Arabidopsis thaliana: one gene and its partner. The protein of the gene in region 2 interacts with the protein of the main gene of each other region in a pairwise test. Each region holds a gene or a part of one and is shown on either strand. Other genes may lie near its edges. The genes, in order: NRT1.5 and AT1G47670.

Region 1 (7,363 bases), 5.8 Mb from region 2:
TACAGGGTCACATGGGCCAAATGTTTGCTTTTCATGCTTCTATAATGGCAAATACACTGAGCTCACCGCTAATTGTATTTACGAGAACCGGATCCATGGCAGTGCTTCTAAGCCACTACCGCCCATCTGCAACAATTTTCGCCTTCACAAACCAGTAAGTGTTTGTTCATCTGTCAATCAGGAAATGTCCTATGTATGCAACTTTTAATCGATGAAATGGGTTTTGATCGATCTTTTGGTTTATTTCCTTTAGGAGAAGAATAATGCAAAGGCTTGCTCTTTATCAAGGTGTCATGCCTATATATATGGAGTTCTCGGATGATGCAGAAGATACATATGCCCGGTCTCTCAAACTCTTACAGGTACGTTAACCATGTACCTTCTCATCTATCAAACATTACATTTTCGGCAGTTTTGCTTACACTTAACTTATACATCACTCAGGACGAGAATATGCTCAAGGAAGGACAACATGTAACTCTTGTCCAAAGTGGCTCGCAACCCATTTGGCGTGAAGAATCAACACATCTCATACAAGTCCGTAAGATAAAGATAGGTGGATGATGTTTTTACTTCTTGAGCTACACAACATCTTGCTTTTACTCAGCTTTCTTTCTCTTACACAGTTCGATCCATATTTTTTTGAATCACTCACAGTGAATCAAACAACCATATAAAATTTTAAGTTATTGAAGCTTTTTTTCTGGTTATAGTTTAGTACCTAAATGTTTGATATGTCATGGAGGATTTCTGTCTATCTCATCTGATTACTTATTGGTAAGAGTAACCCATATAACACATTACAGTTAAGTCTTTAGAGCTTAGGAGTTTAAAGAAGAAGTCTTTTCGACGAAAAAGACTGATCCGATTTAGCCTTTTATTTATGAATCAGTTTGCTGTTACATCACCGGAAAACTGAAAACCAAACACACATTTGTTAGACTTTAGAATCCTTCTCTCGTTCCTCTTCACTCTCGGTGTCATAGTCATCATCACTCATGTCTTGCATCTCATCTTTTCCTTCTAGTTGTATAGGTTTGTACCATTTTGCACATGCAATGTATACCACCAGGTCAATGCTCGTCAACGCAGCCAGGAGGAAATAGAATCTGTCTAAGTGACCTTTGTTGAGATTCCTTGGAATCCAACCAGGCATGTGATCCTCTGTTGAGATCTTCACCACCATTGTTACCAACAAGCTACTAACAAAGTTCCCCATTGACATTGACATCATACACAGAGCGCTCCCGAAGCTCTTTAGTCCGTCTGGTGTTTGCGCGTTGAAGAACTCAAGCTGACCCACGTACATGAACACTTCTGATGCCCCGATGAGTGAGTATTGTGGAGCCTGCAAAGAGTAGAAGAGTGTCAATACTCGGAAGTTTCTTTTGTAAGTTGTTGATTTTAGGACCAAAGTGAGTTTTAAGGTCTGTGTTCATTACCTGCCAGAAGATGCTTAAGGAGCTTGAGCCATCACAGTGAGTACAACTCTTGTCTGCATACTTAAGCCTATAGCATTCCACAATCCCGGCTGCAATCATAGCTATGACAGCAATCACAAGTCCGATTCCCATCCTGTGAAGCTCGGTGATTCCTTTTGATCCATTCTTTTTGAATCTGTTGGCTACTGGCTCGAGAACTCTGCGGTACAGGAATATGAACAAAGCGACGCTAAGGATGTCGAAGCTGGACATACTTGCCGGGGGGATTTTGAAATCTGAGACAGAGGTATTCATTGCAGCGCCTTGCTCCACAAAGAGAGAGGCCATTTGAGTGAAGACGACTGAGTAGATTATAGTGCAGAGCCAAATTGGCATCAGTCTAAGAATACACTTGACTTCCTCGACTTGTGTCACTGGACAGAGCCTCCATGGGTTCACTGAGTCTTGTTTCTTGTCATCTAGATCTCTAGCTGTGATGTACGCTGCTTTGTCCAAGAACCTGAAATTCCAAAAGGAACATGTTAGAACACTTCATGGCATTGAAGTATATGGTGAAACTGCAATTTTTGGTGACTTACTTGAATTCATCGGTATGCACTATCCTTCTCCCTGTGTTAACTGAAGCATTTTTCCCTTCGCTGTCTCCGTCATACATCTCCTCTCTCCCTCTTAATGGTGCCTCCACCGATGATTTCTTCGTTGCAGCGACCAAAACTTGGCAAAACCTCGAAAGAGGATTCCCCGTGGGCTTGAAATATCGGTATCTCGGTGTTCCAACAAGGAAAAGAATCAACCCAATGATAGCAGAGCCAGTGGATGCCCAAAACCCGAGTGCCCACATTCCCTCATCCTCAAAATACCCCAAGATGGTGTTCGAAAAGAGCGATCCGAGGTTTAAAGCAAGGTAAAAGTAGCTGAAAAACGCAATCTTCGAGTACCCTTCTTTAGGATGCTCCTCATCGAACTGATCCGCTCCAAGCGTTGCAATGTTTGGTTGGTAACCGCCATATCCCAATGCGATCAAGTAGATCGAGAAGTAGAACATTGTGATCTCCATCATGGAATGTGAACCACAAGGCGTGACTTCGTCCCCACAACCTCTTGGTCTAATCAAGAACATGTATGATGATAGCGATAGCGATGAAAGTCCCTGCGTTTTCACATCCAAAAAAGCGTTCTTATGAGCTTAAAACGTTCCAACTTAAAAAAGATGAATCACATTTTGATAGTTGCTATTACTTACAATGACAAAAATGACTTGGAAGATAGCACAAGTCTTGTAACGACCCCAATACGAATCGCTGAGAAACGCTCCAACCAATGAGAAGATATAAACAGTCCCTGTCCATTTGCTAACGTTGTTAGCTGCGTCTGCGTTGTTCTGCTGCAAAACGCGAGTTAGGAAGAGCACCAAGTTCACTCCAACTCCAAAGAAGGCTAGTGTAGCCAGCCCCTGGTTCACTGTTAACCGGAAAATTAGATTAGAACCCGGTTTAGAGAGAGTTAACCAAATTATTATTGATTTGAAAGAAACCAGAATAGATGAAAGAATTGAATGAATGATTGTTAATAATTGTTCCGTGTTCGTCAAGATGATGTTAACATTTCTTTGGTTGGATTGTATTTAATGACTACTTCATTATTGTTCCACCTTCTAACGAAATCAAATAAAAAAATGATAATGAAATCTACAAATAACTACAATTTTAGCAAATTAAATTCTTCATGCGAAATACAAATCGTTAACTAATAATAATTATTAAAACTATTACGTGGACTCTACTAATAAATCATCAAACCAAAAAGAAAACCCACTAGAATCTCTTAAATTGTACTTTGTATAAAAATAAATGCTTTGTGTAATATTCTTAAAATATAATTTAATAGTAACATAATTTTGTAAAGCAAAATTTGAAAATGTTAGGAGAAAAATGTGAAGAAGTGGACGTGGCAAAAGCCAACGTCATGGGACGACGAGATGGGTAATTACGTGTAAGGCAACGTAATTCCACTAACACATGCTTTCCTTGCACTTATTTTAATTTATTAGTGTCGACTTTCTCAAAATAACTTTTTTTCCTTTTTTTGGTTAAATTCCATAAAAGTATCTTTAAAAAACCTAAATATCTATCTCCATATATAGAATCACTTACAAATCTGAATGTTTTCACTTTCAGTTATTTTCTAAATGACAAACTAGATCCATTAATTTTAACAAAAACACTCAATCATTCAGATCTCTTACATCACATTAGTTGCGTTTGAATTATTAGTATTTTGTTTTTTGGAGAAAATGATTGAAAAGTACACATATGTTTATTATATAATAACTATTTTTCATCATAAGTATTCTTTTTGCTTTACATAAGTACTATAATTGTTGGGATCCCTATAATTAATAAATAAAAAATAGCAAGAATTTATGGGAAATTTACTAGATAAGTCTGGAAATTCATTAATGATGCGTCCGTTATACAACAAAAAATTATATGCATTTGTCATGTGGTTGGGGTTTTTCTACCAAAACATGCAGCGTACGTTCGAACACATGGATATGTCTTGACACGTTCACGTAAAATTCGAAGTTAATTCTAGTTATTAATGTTGGTTCTATTGTCACTTTCCTAGTTTCTGATAACTTATTACCTCAAAGATAAGTATGCATATCAATCAATCTACACACTTTTAGATATACATCATATCGGTATCTAGTTTTTTTCCCTTGTCAGTTCAATTCATACGTTTTTTTGTCGGGATATATATCTCAATTTATACGCTACACATAATTTTATATACAAAATAATGTAAACATGTGTGTAGAAATATACAAATCATGTATTAAGCCATACTAATGATTTGAATCCATGAATTATATAGGGACCGGCACTGAATATACCTTATGCAAAGATGCTATGAGTTTGCATGTGGTATCTTTGAGAAAAGGACGTGAAGAACAAAATAAAATAAAATAAAAGATTCTATGTTTTAAGGTGTCGATCATATATTTTCCTCCGCTTTGGTTTATATTCTAGAGTTGATTTCTTAGCAAAACTATATATTTATTTCAATTTGATATATAGTTAAATTGTAATTTTGATTAGGGAAGAGAGACATACGAAGAATGACGATGCCAGCAACCCATTGGCCTGAGTTAGAACGAATAGAGGGACGACCATAGTAATCCACTGTCCCATCTCTTGTTTCTTCTTCTCCTTCTTTCTTCTTCATCGTCTGCATTTTCATTTAGTTAAATTTAATTAACTGATACACACACATCAATTTATCTATAAATATATAGAAAGATGCTTTATATGCCTAATTATCTACTAGTCTCTACAACCTTTTGTGCTCTTGATATGGAGAAGATTCATGAGTTCGATAGTTTTGTATTTTCCGGAACTTAACCAAAAACTAAAAACGTTTTTTTTTTTTAACTCTTACTTTTTGTATTGGCACGTAATTCTCGTTTCGTATACACAATTTTCAAGATCATTTGGAATCATTCTCAACTTTCAATGACAGCACTAAACGGAAAAATACTTACATCTATATATTTAAATTAAGAAGATTAGATATAATAGAGCTAATTAATTAAAAAGTATGGTGTATTAAAAAGAAATTTGAAGAAAAAGAAAAGATGTTGAGCTAAGTTTTTGCACATAAAGATCGTGACTTTCCATTGCACTAAGCATGTCCTTTTGATCATGCTCTTCTTGAGCCACCAAAAGCTTAGAAAGTTTTTACTATAACAATGAGTAACTTAAAAAGAAAATATTTCCTTTTGTAGTCACATATGAAATTCAAGAAACAAGAGCCTTAATCAGATAATCAAAATCTTATAAGGAAGAAAAGCAAAGGTCCATTACTTCAAACTCTGATTAATATATCAAAGAAAATAAAGAAACAATTGAAGGGACAAGCTTAAATATTACTTACGTCTTTGTTATAAATCTCTAGGCAAGACATTTTGCGATGATATATGATTATATGTATGTGAGTTTTGGCAAGAGAGTGATAACGAAATTTCTCTTTAGTTTTGGTGTTTTTTTTCTTTCTTCTTTTCGTAAGTGATATGAGAGAATTAAAACAAAGGACGAAGAAGGAAGAAGCAGAAAGCAAGTTCAAGCTTGGGTGTTGTAGAGAAGAGAATGTTGAGAATAAATAGAAGTTTGGAAGATGATTTGAACGGTTCTGATTTTACATGGGACACTCACATGCCCAATATCTATTTTTAATTGTTTTGTTTCTGAAAAAATACTTTAGCACGATGAAAAAAAAAGCTCAAAAGCACAATTTTAATTATTTAGGAAATCAATATTTGCATTTTCCACCCAATAATTTTGTTTTCTCTGGCGCTGAAAGGCTTCTTGTGCTTTCGAAACTTGGGGATGTGGCTGAGGCTGATGGTCGGAGGATATTTATTTATTTATTTTCGTAGCAAAACTTAAACGTTTGGTAGAAATAGATTTAATTAATGATTCTATAAATTTCACTACAACGGAAAATCCCAAAATATTTGTTGTTAGAAAAAAGAGGTACCACATTAAATTAAATAAGTACGTATAGACTGAAAAAATTGAAGGTTCGAATAATTTCTTATATCCAATTTAGATTTCAAATTCTAAAAGAAAAAAGAATATCTTTCTATTCCTGAAGTTACATTATATTTTATGTTGAACACTCGTGATCACACATGTATACTATTAATTGGGAAGCATTGTGTGAACTACAACATTGTAAGGGTAGTTTAAAACTAACTAAATGAATATTTTTGCATGGGTAATTTAGTAAATTAACAACTACTCCAACTAAATAAATATCTTCAATTTTTCTTTTTTAAAAAATGATTTAAATCAATAAATTAAGAAAATTTTTGGATTTTAGATTTGTAATTATCTAGAAAATGGTTTCAGTATATATTTAATATTTTAATTAGAATTTAAATGATATAAACGTTTAAAGTACTTTTTTTTTAAAACAAGTAATTTTCATTATTTTAAAAATATATCACTAAGCTAAATTTGAATTATATAAAAGAAAATATATTTTTAAACGTATTATAATAGTTACAAGCTTTTGAAATATTCATTATACTAGATTAAATTATTTATTTATTTTTAAATAGTAAAACAAAGTTTAAATACCAATATTTAAAAATTTTAATGCAAATATTCAAAATGAGAACCATCACTAATATGATTTTTTTGGCAGATCATTAATTGTATTCGAACAATAATGACTACCATATTTGCGATAATGTATAAGGATAAGTTTAATTTAAAAACATACCAAAATCGTTGAGATCTAATTTTAGCTTTAAAAAAAAATATTTTCGTTATCCTAAATTTAAAATATGTAATTCAGATTAGTTTTTTTCCAGTAAAGCTAAAATTGAATCCAAATTAAAATCTAATTTTATGTACAATCTATCTCTTATAAATGTTATGCATACATTCATATTGCCTCACAATCAATCTAGAATATTGATTCCTTAAAAAAATAGATAGAGATTCATATGTAAATTACTTCATGTTCTAATGATATTTATCTCCTAATTTTACTATCCATTTATGCGTATGCTTATAGATTTTTCTTTCAGGGTCAACATTAGATTACAAAAAACTAGCCGGGTGTTGGTCAATATTATACAACAGATAAAATTATGGAATTAACAATCAAAATATAGTTATACAATCTGAAACAATAAACAAAACAAATATAACTTAATTTATGTTTTAATTTTAACTAAAATCAACAAATTTATCAGTTTATTAAAAATAAAATAAAAATTAGCTTGTGGTACCCTACGTGTAAATCACTACGATTTCATGAGGTTGCAATATCAATTTATACAAATTTTGACTTTTAAAATATACTTTATATAATTATTGAAAGGTATACATTAAATATCGGTTTTATAT
Region 2 (5,501 bases):
CCATGATCTTTCAATGACGTACGACTTCTCTCCACATATCATTTAGAATCTTCATTAGATACCTGGAGACTCCTCCTCTATGCAACATCGATTGAACTCCCTTGAAGTAAAGTCTCCTCCTTTATCGGTACAAAAGGTTTTAATAGACAAGCCGACTTGCTTCTCTAAAACTCTTGAAAAGCTTTTGAACCGATCAAAACTTGAATGAATATGTCAACAAGGAACCATCTTGTTCTTGTTGACTGATTCAAACTCCTCTTCACATCTTTCCTCCATTAAAGCACATCTTTAGCCTCTTGGCTCATTACTTGTTGAAAGTTGACGTCTCTTACTTTTAACATAAGCTTGGTGGAACAATCCATAAGTTGTTTCGGACTGCATAACATAGTCTTCAAGGTACCGCGACTGACTTATTTGTCGACCCGACCTTCTCAGTTGTGGTACTCCTTGAACTACTTCACCAACCTCATTATGGTATTTTTTAGTGATATCCTCCATGCCATCATCTTCTTCATGTACTTCTCCAACATCTTCTCTGTGAATCAACTCCAATATGATATAACCGAGCATGTCATGTCCTTGTAGCTTCAGTAGAAAGTCCATCGACAAGTGATGTTGGATAATTCCTAACTTGAAGAGCAAGATATCTCCTTTTAGTAGATGGTAGAAGAGATACAAGAAAATAAAATACAAATAACGTCAAGTTGGACATAATTTGTAACTCTTCCTTTTCAAATCATGACTAAACTCTAAATTTAGATGTAATTTAGCTTAGTGGTAGGTCAGAGCAAATGGATTTGGTTTATACGTTTGCAATTATGTAATTCCATGGATGTAGTTTGAAAGACCAAACTTCATTACAATTATGTGTATCAATTTATTTTGCTTACTCGTATCTATTTTATCACTAGAATACAAAGATTTTGCTAACTCCAAATCTATTATTTTCAGACAAGCATATCCTGTAAATCTTCAATCATCCAAAAAGTGATGTTGAGTTTAGATCCAACTCCAAAATGTATTTATCTTATTTTTAAGTAAAAAACTGAAGAAATGAGTTTGCGAATCTTTTAAATAGTTATTTTGTATAATGCATATTAGAGAAAGAACAAAGATAAATTTTTGTATCAAATATTTAAACTGAGTTAATGGTGGTTTATGAAGGGTGTTATAGTGCATTCACTCCCTTATATAATCGATATCTCTAATCCCTTGGTAAAATTAAATTGTTGTATTGAATTTTTTTATGAAAGAGTAAGGTGAGTTGCAAATTTTGCTTGGCCTCAAAAATTCTTCTCTCTATTTTTTCATTTACATGTTTGAAGTGTTACTTTTTACTTTGCTAAGATATTTCAGTGTTACTTTTTAATCTACATATTTCATTGTTATTTTTTAATTTACATATATCAATGTTATTTTTCCACTCAGATAAGGTGAAATATTTCAGCTAACTTAAAGTGATTATGATCATCAACACCTATTTCATGTCAATTTTTTGCTAAAAAATAAACAAATTGGTCATAATGTTCAAAAACTTGACCTCACCATCATAATACTTAGTACTTACTGGTCAAACAAACATATGTTCAGAACTTTTGTATTGATGGGGAAGGTTACTTTTGTCGTAATGTTACAAAAAAAAAATTGTTACTGTTGAGACCATTATAAATAATCATGTCATGTTCTTTAATTATCAACTTTGATTGTCATTTAATTGTAAATTTCGTTAGTTAATCTGTCCTCTTCTTGTAATTAAATAAAAATTTGTTTCAATACCAATAAAGTTGTCCTAAAAAAAACCACCCCTCTAAATAGGGAGTGAGTGAGAGAGAGAGTGATAGTGAGAACAAAAAAAAAACATCATTTCTTCTCGCACTCTTCACCTGCTCCAATGGACGAAAGACCCGAGACAGAGCTAATATCAATACCAGCCACACCACGAGTTTCAACACCGGAGATTCTAACTCCCTCCGGTCAAAGATCACCTCGTCCGGCCACCAAACCATCGTCGGCGACATGGACTCCGACTTCGTTCATATCACCGAGGTTCTTGAGTCCGATTGGTACACCAATGAAACGAGTTCTTGTGAACATGAAAGGGTATCTTGAAGAAGTTGGTCATCTCACTAAGCTAAACCCACAAGATGCTTGGCTTCCAATCACTGAATCTCGTAATGGAAACGCTCATTACGCTGCTTTTCACAATCTCAACGCTGGTGTTGGTTTTCAAGCCCTTGTTCTTCCCGTCGCGTTTGCGTTTCTTGGCTGGTGCGTTTGCGTTTTTCTTGATTTTTCCAATAATCTTTTTTCTTGTTTTTGAGTTTTTTCTTGAACTTTGTGTTTAGTGTTTCAAGATTATTTTTGTTTAGTGAACGGCGAGGGTTTATTCGACTCTCTGTGGTGCTCAGATCCAGTTTCAGGGTTCACTTTACTTGTTTGGGCAAAAATCAAAAATGTTTTTCTTGTCGGAAATAATAATAGGATATTGACTAATTTACTTTTTAACTTTGAAAACATTTCAATTTTAGCAGTAGATATTTTCTTTTTAATTTGTCATGCTTCCATCATTACACATGTGGATACTCACAGACATACTTTTTTGCTTTAATTTGGATTAAGACAGAGCCTTCTTTATCGTCTACTTTGTTTCTTGTTAATTTCCGGCAAAAAACACTTTTCTGAAAAGTATTTATTGTGTATATATAAGTAGGGCATGTAGTTGACGTCATAATAGATGACTATTTCTTCTTATAAACTTATATTTAGATAAATATTTTTTATTGCAAGTTCTAATATTTGAAACTATACATAACTTGTTAAGGTGGAGCATTTGGCTAGTTCAATACTTAAATAGCTTAGTGATGAATAATGATATTGCAATGATCATGTATTTGAGATTCTTATGTAAGAAAATGCACATATATTATTTCCAAACTTCAAGAAGTGAATTATTGTTGTTACAGGAGTTGGGGAATACTGTCTTTAACAATAGCATATTGCTGGCAACTCTACACACTGTGGATTCTGGTTCAGTTGCACGAAGCTGTCCCCGGGAAACGCTACAATCGATATGTCGAGCTTGCACAAGCTGCTTTTGGTAAAATGATAAATTTAGTTTTACATTAAGAATGATGAAATAATGCATCAATAGTGACAATTATTATTGATACTAATTTTGTGTCTTGCTAAGTTGCTATTACTAAATCTTGTACTCTTGATTGGAACAGGAGAAAGGTTAGGAGTATGGCTTGCATTGTTTCCTACGGTTTACTTATCAGCAGGAACCGCGACAGCGCTGATTCTGATCGGTGGAGAGACAATGAAACTCTTCTTCCAGATAGTTTGCGGTCCATTATGCACCTCGAATCCGTTAACAACAGTTGAATGGTATTTGGTGTTTACATCTCTCTGCATCGTTCTGTCTCAGCTACCAAACCTCAATTCTATTGCGGGACTCTCCTTAATAGGAGCAGTGACTGCAATAACTTACTCCACAATGGTTTGGGTTCTCTCTGTGAGCCAACCAAGACCAGCCACTATCTCATACGAGCCTCTTTCTATGCCTTCGACTTCTGGTTCACTCTTCGCTGTTTTGAATGCTCTTGGCATTATAGCTTTTGCCTTCAGAGGTCACAACTTGGTTTTGGAAATTCAGGTAAAATATGCAAAATATTTCTGTCTATAGATAATGCACATATTGGACTTATGATTTATTCTGAGTATTGAAAACTTTGTAGTCGACGATGCCATCAACGTTTAAGCATCCTGCTCACGTACCAATGTGGAGAGGAGCCAAAATCTCTTACTTCCTCATTGCTCTGTGTATCTTTCCAATCTCCATCGGAGGCTTTTGGGCTTATGGGAACCTTGTAAGTTCCATTTACTATATCTTTTGTTTATGTCTTGTCAGTGAAGGATGTTTATCTGGTGTTTGGTTCATGTTAGTGAAATATAGAATTCAAAAGGAACACTAATATCATTTATTTATAGTTCGTTTTCTGATCTTTGGTTCAATTTCCGGATTAGTTTGAAGTTATTTTTTCTTGGTCTTATAGATGCCTTCAGGAGGTATGCTTGCTGCTTTGTATGCATTCCACATTCACGATATCCCGAGAGGCTTATTAGCGACGGCATTTCTCCTAGTAGTCTTCAGCTGCTTGAGCAGTTTTCAGATATACTCCATGCCTGCCTTTGACAGCTTTGAAGCTGGCTACACAAGCAGAACCAACAAGCCGTGTTCGATTTGGGTCAGATCAGGTTTCCGAGTCTTTTTTGGTTTTGTCTCGTTTTTCATCGGTGTTGCTCTCCCTTTTCTGTCTAGTCTTGCGGGGTTGCTCGGTGGACTCACTCTCCCGGTCACATTTGCTTATCCTTGCTTCATGTGGGTCTTGATTAAGAAACCGGCGAAATACAGTTTCAATTGGTATTTCCATTGGGGATTAGGTTGGTTGGGAGTTGCATTCAGCTTGGCATTCTCCATAGGTGGGATCTGGAGTATGGTTACCAATGGACTTAAGCTCAAGTTCTTCAAGCCGCCTAACTAAGTAGTAATAGCCTATGTGGTTTTGTTTGGTTGGGAAGTTTGAAGTTTTAAGAGATTTTGTATTTCTGTGTTTTGTTTAAGAGTGCCTATGTTTTGAAGTTGGAACAATGTAATGTGTATTATAATTCAGTAAGCTTTTCAATATAAAGAATTTGGAATTTTGAAGAATCACACTTGTGTGCCTCTGTTGAATCCCTAGCTGGAATTTTCCCAACGTGGTTTTCTCTTTTCCATCTTTTTTTCAAATTATTTTGATACTACTAAAAATAACGATACATGAGTATTAAACTAAATTAAGCTAGATCAAGAATTCGGATTCAAAGTAATCGTTTTAGTGTATGAAAGATGATATTCTCGGATGATCTTTTGTTCTGCACAACTTTTTGGATCCTGCGGGAAGAGGGAAAGTATATAGAATTACATGATATCATATGTTGATATCAAGCGACTTGACATAAGAATTGGTGAAGCTCATGTTTGATGAAAATTGATGTACAAGTATACCCCTGTCGACGGACGACTGCACTACGATTTGTATAAGAGCAGATACGGGGCATGTTTTTAGAGTGTCTTTTTGTACATGAGAATTTAGATGTGTGCATGGTTTCATGTCTATTACGCATTTAATACCCTCAATGTACATCGAGTCGATTTCTCTGTCATGTTCTAGGTGAAGTGTCGGACCGCCAATGAGATTGTGGGATACGGGCTTTGCCCTCCATGCCCAATTCGGCCCAAACACAAATAGAACAAGTCAAGAAAGCTACTAACAAGGAAGAACGGCCCATCAGAACAACGGCCCATCAGAATGACTGCTCGGCCCATCACAGCTCGGCCCATCACGGTTTGGCCCAGCCCGATAAATTCAGAAGGGCAAAACGGAGAAATCGCTAGAGAGACTAAGAGAACCCTAGATCAGCTTCTTGCCTATAAATAAGAGGAGACACTACTAAGAAGA

Evidence for each region.
Region 1: the proteins of AT1G47670 (region 2) and NRT1.5 interact in a protein complementation assay, tested with the Arabidopsis thaliana proteins (one large-scale study listed by BioGRID).

The regions. Positions count from the first base shown.
Region 1 is NC_003070.9:11,714,400-11,721,762, forward strand, and holds NRT1.5 (nitrate transporter 1.5), read right to left. Parts: upstream 5,590-7,363; 5' UTR 5,409-5,589; coding exon 5,379-5,408; intron 4,674-5,378; coding exon 4,559-4,673; intron 2,904-4,558; coding exon 2,686-2,903; intron 2,593-2,685; coding exon 2,021-2,592; intron 1,942-2,020; coding exon 1,443-1,941; intron 1,349-1,442; coding exon 938-1,348; 3' UTR 748-937; downstream 1-747. Other genes in the region: PKp3 (plastidial pyruvate kinase 3), read left to right, coding at 6-154, 254-362, 445-564. UniProt on the Arabidopsis thaliana protein: Low-affinity proton-dependent bidirectional nitrate transporter. Involved in nitrate loading into xylem and not in nitrate uptake. Not involved in histidine or dipeptides transport.
Region 2 is NC_003070.9:17,535,877-17,541,377, reverse strand, and holds AT1G47670 (Transmembrane amino acid transporter family protein), read left to right. Parts: upstream 1-1,658; 5' UTR 1,659-1,891; coding exon 1,892-2,268; intron 2,269-2,963; coding exon 2,964-3,097; intron 3,098-3,227; coding exon 3,228-3,655; intron 3,656-3,737; coding exon 3,738-3,869; intron 3,870-4,055; coding exon 4,056-4,544; 3' UTR 4,545-4,753; downstream 4,754-5,501. Other genes in the region: AT1G47680 (uncharacterized protein), read right to left, coding at 289-603. UniProt on the Arabidopsis thaliana protein: Amino acid transporter.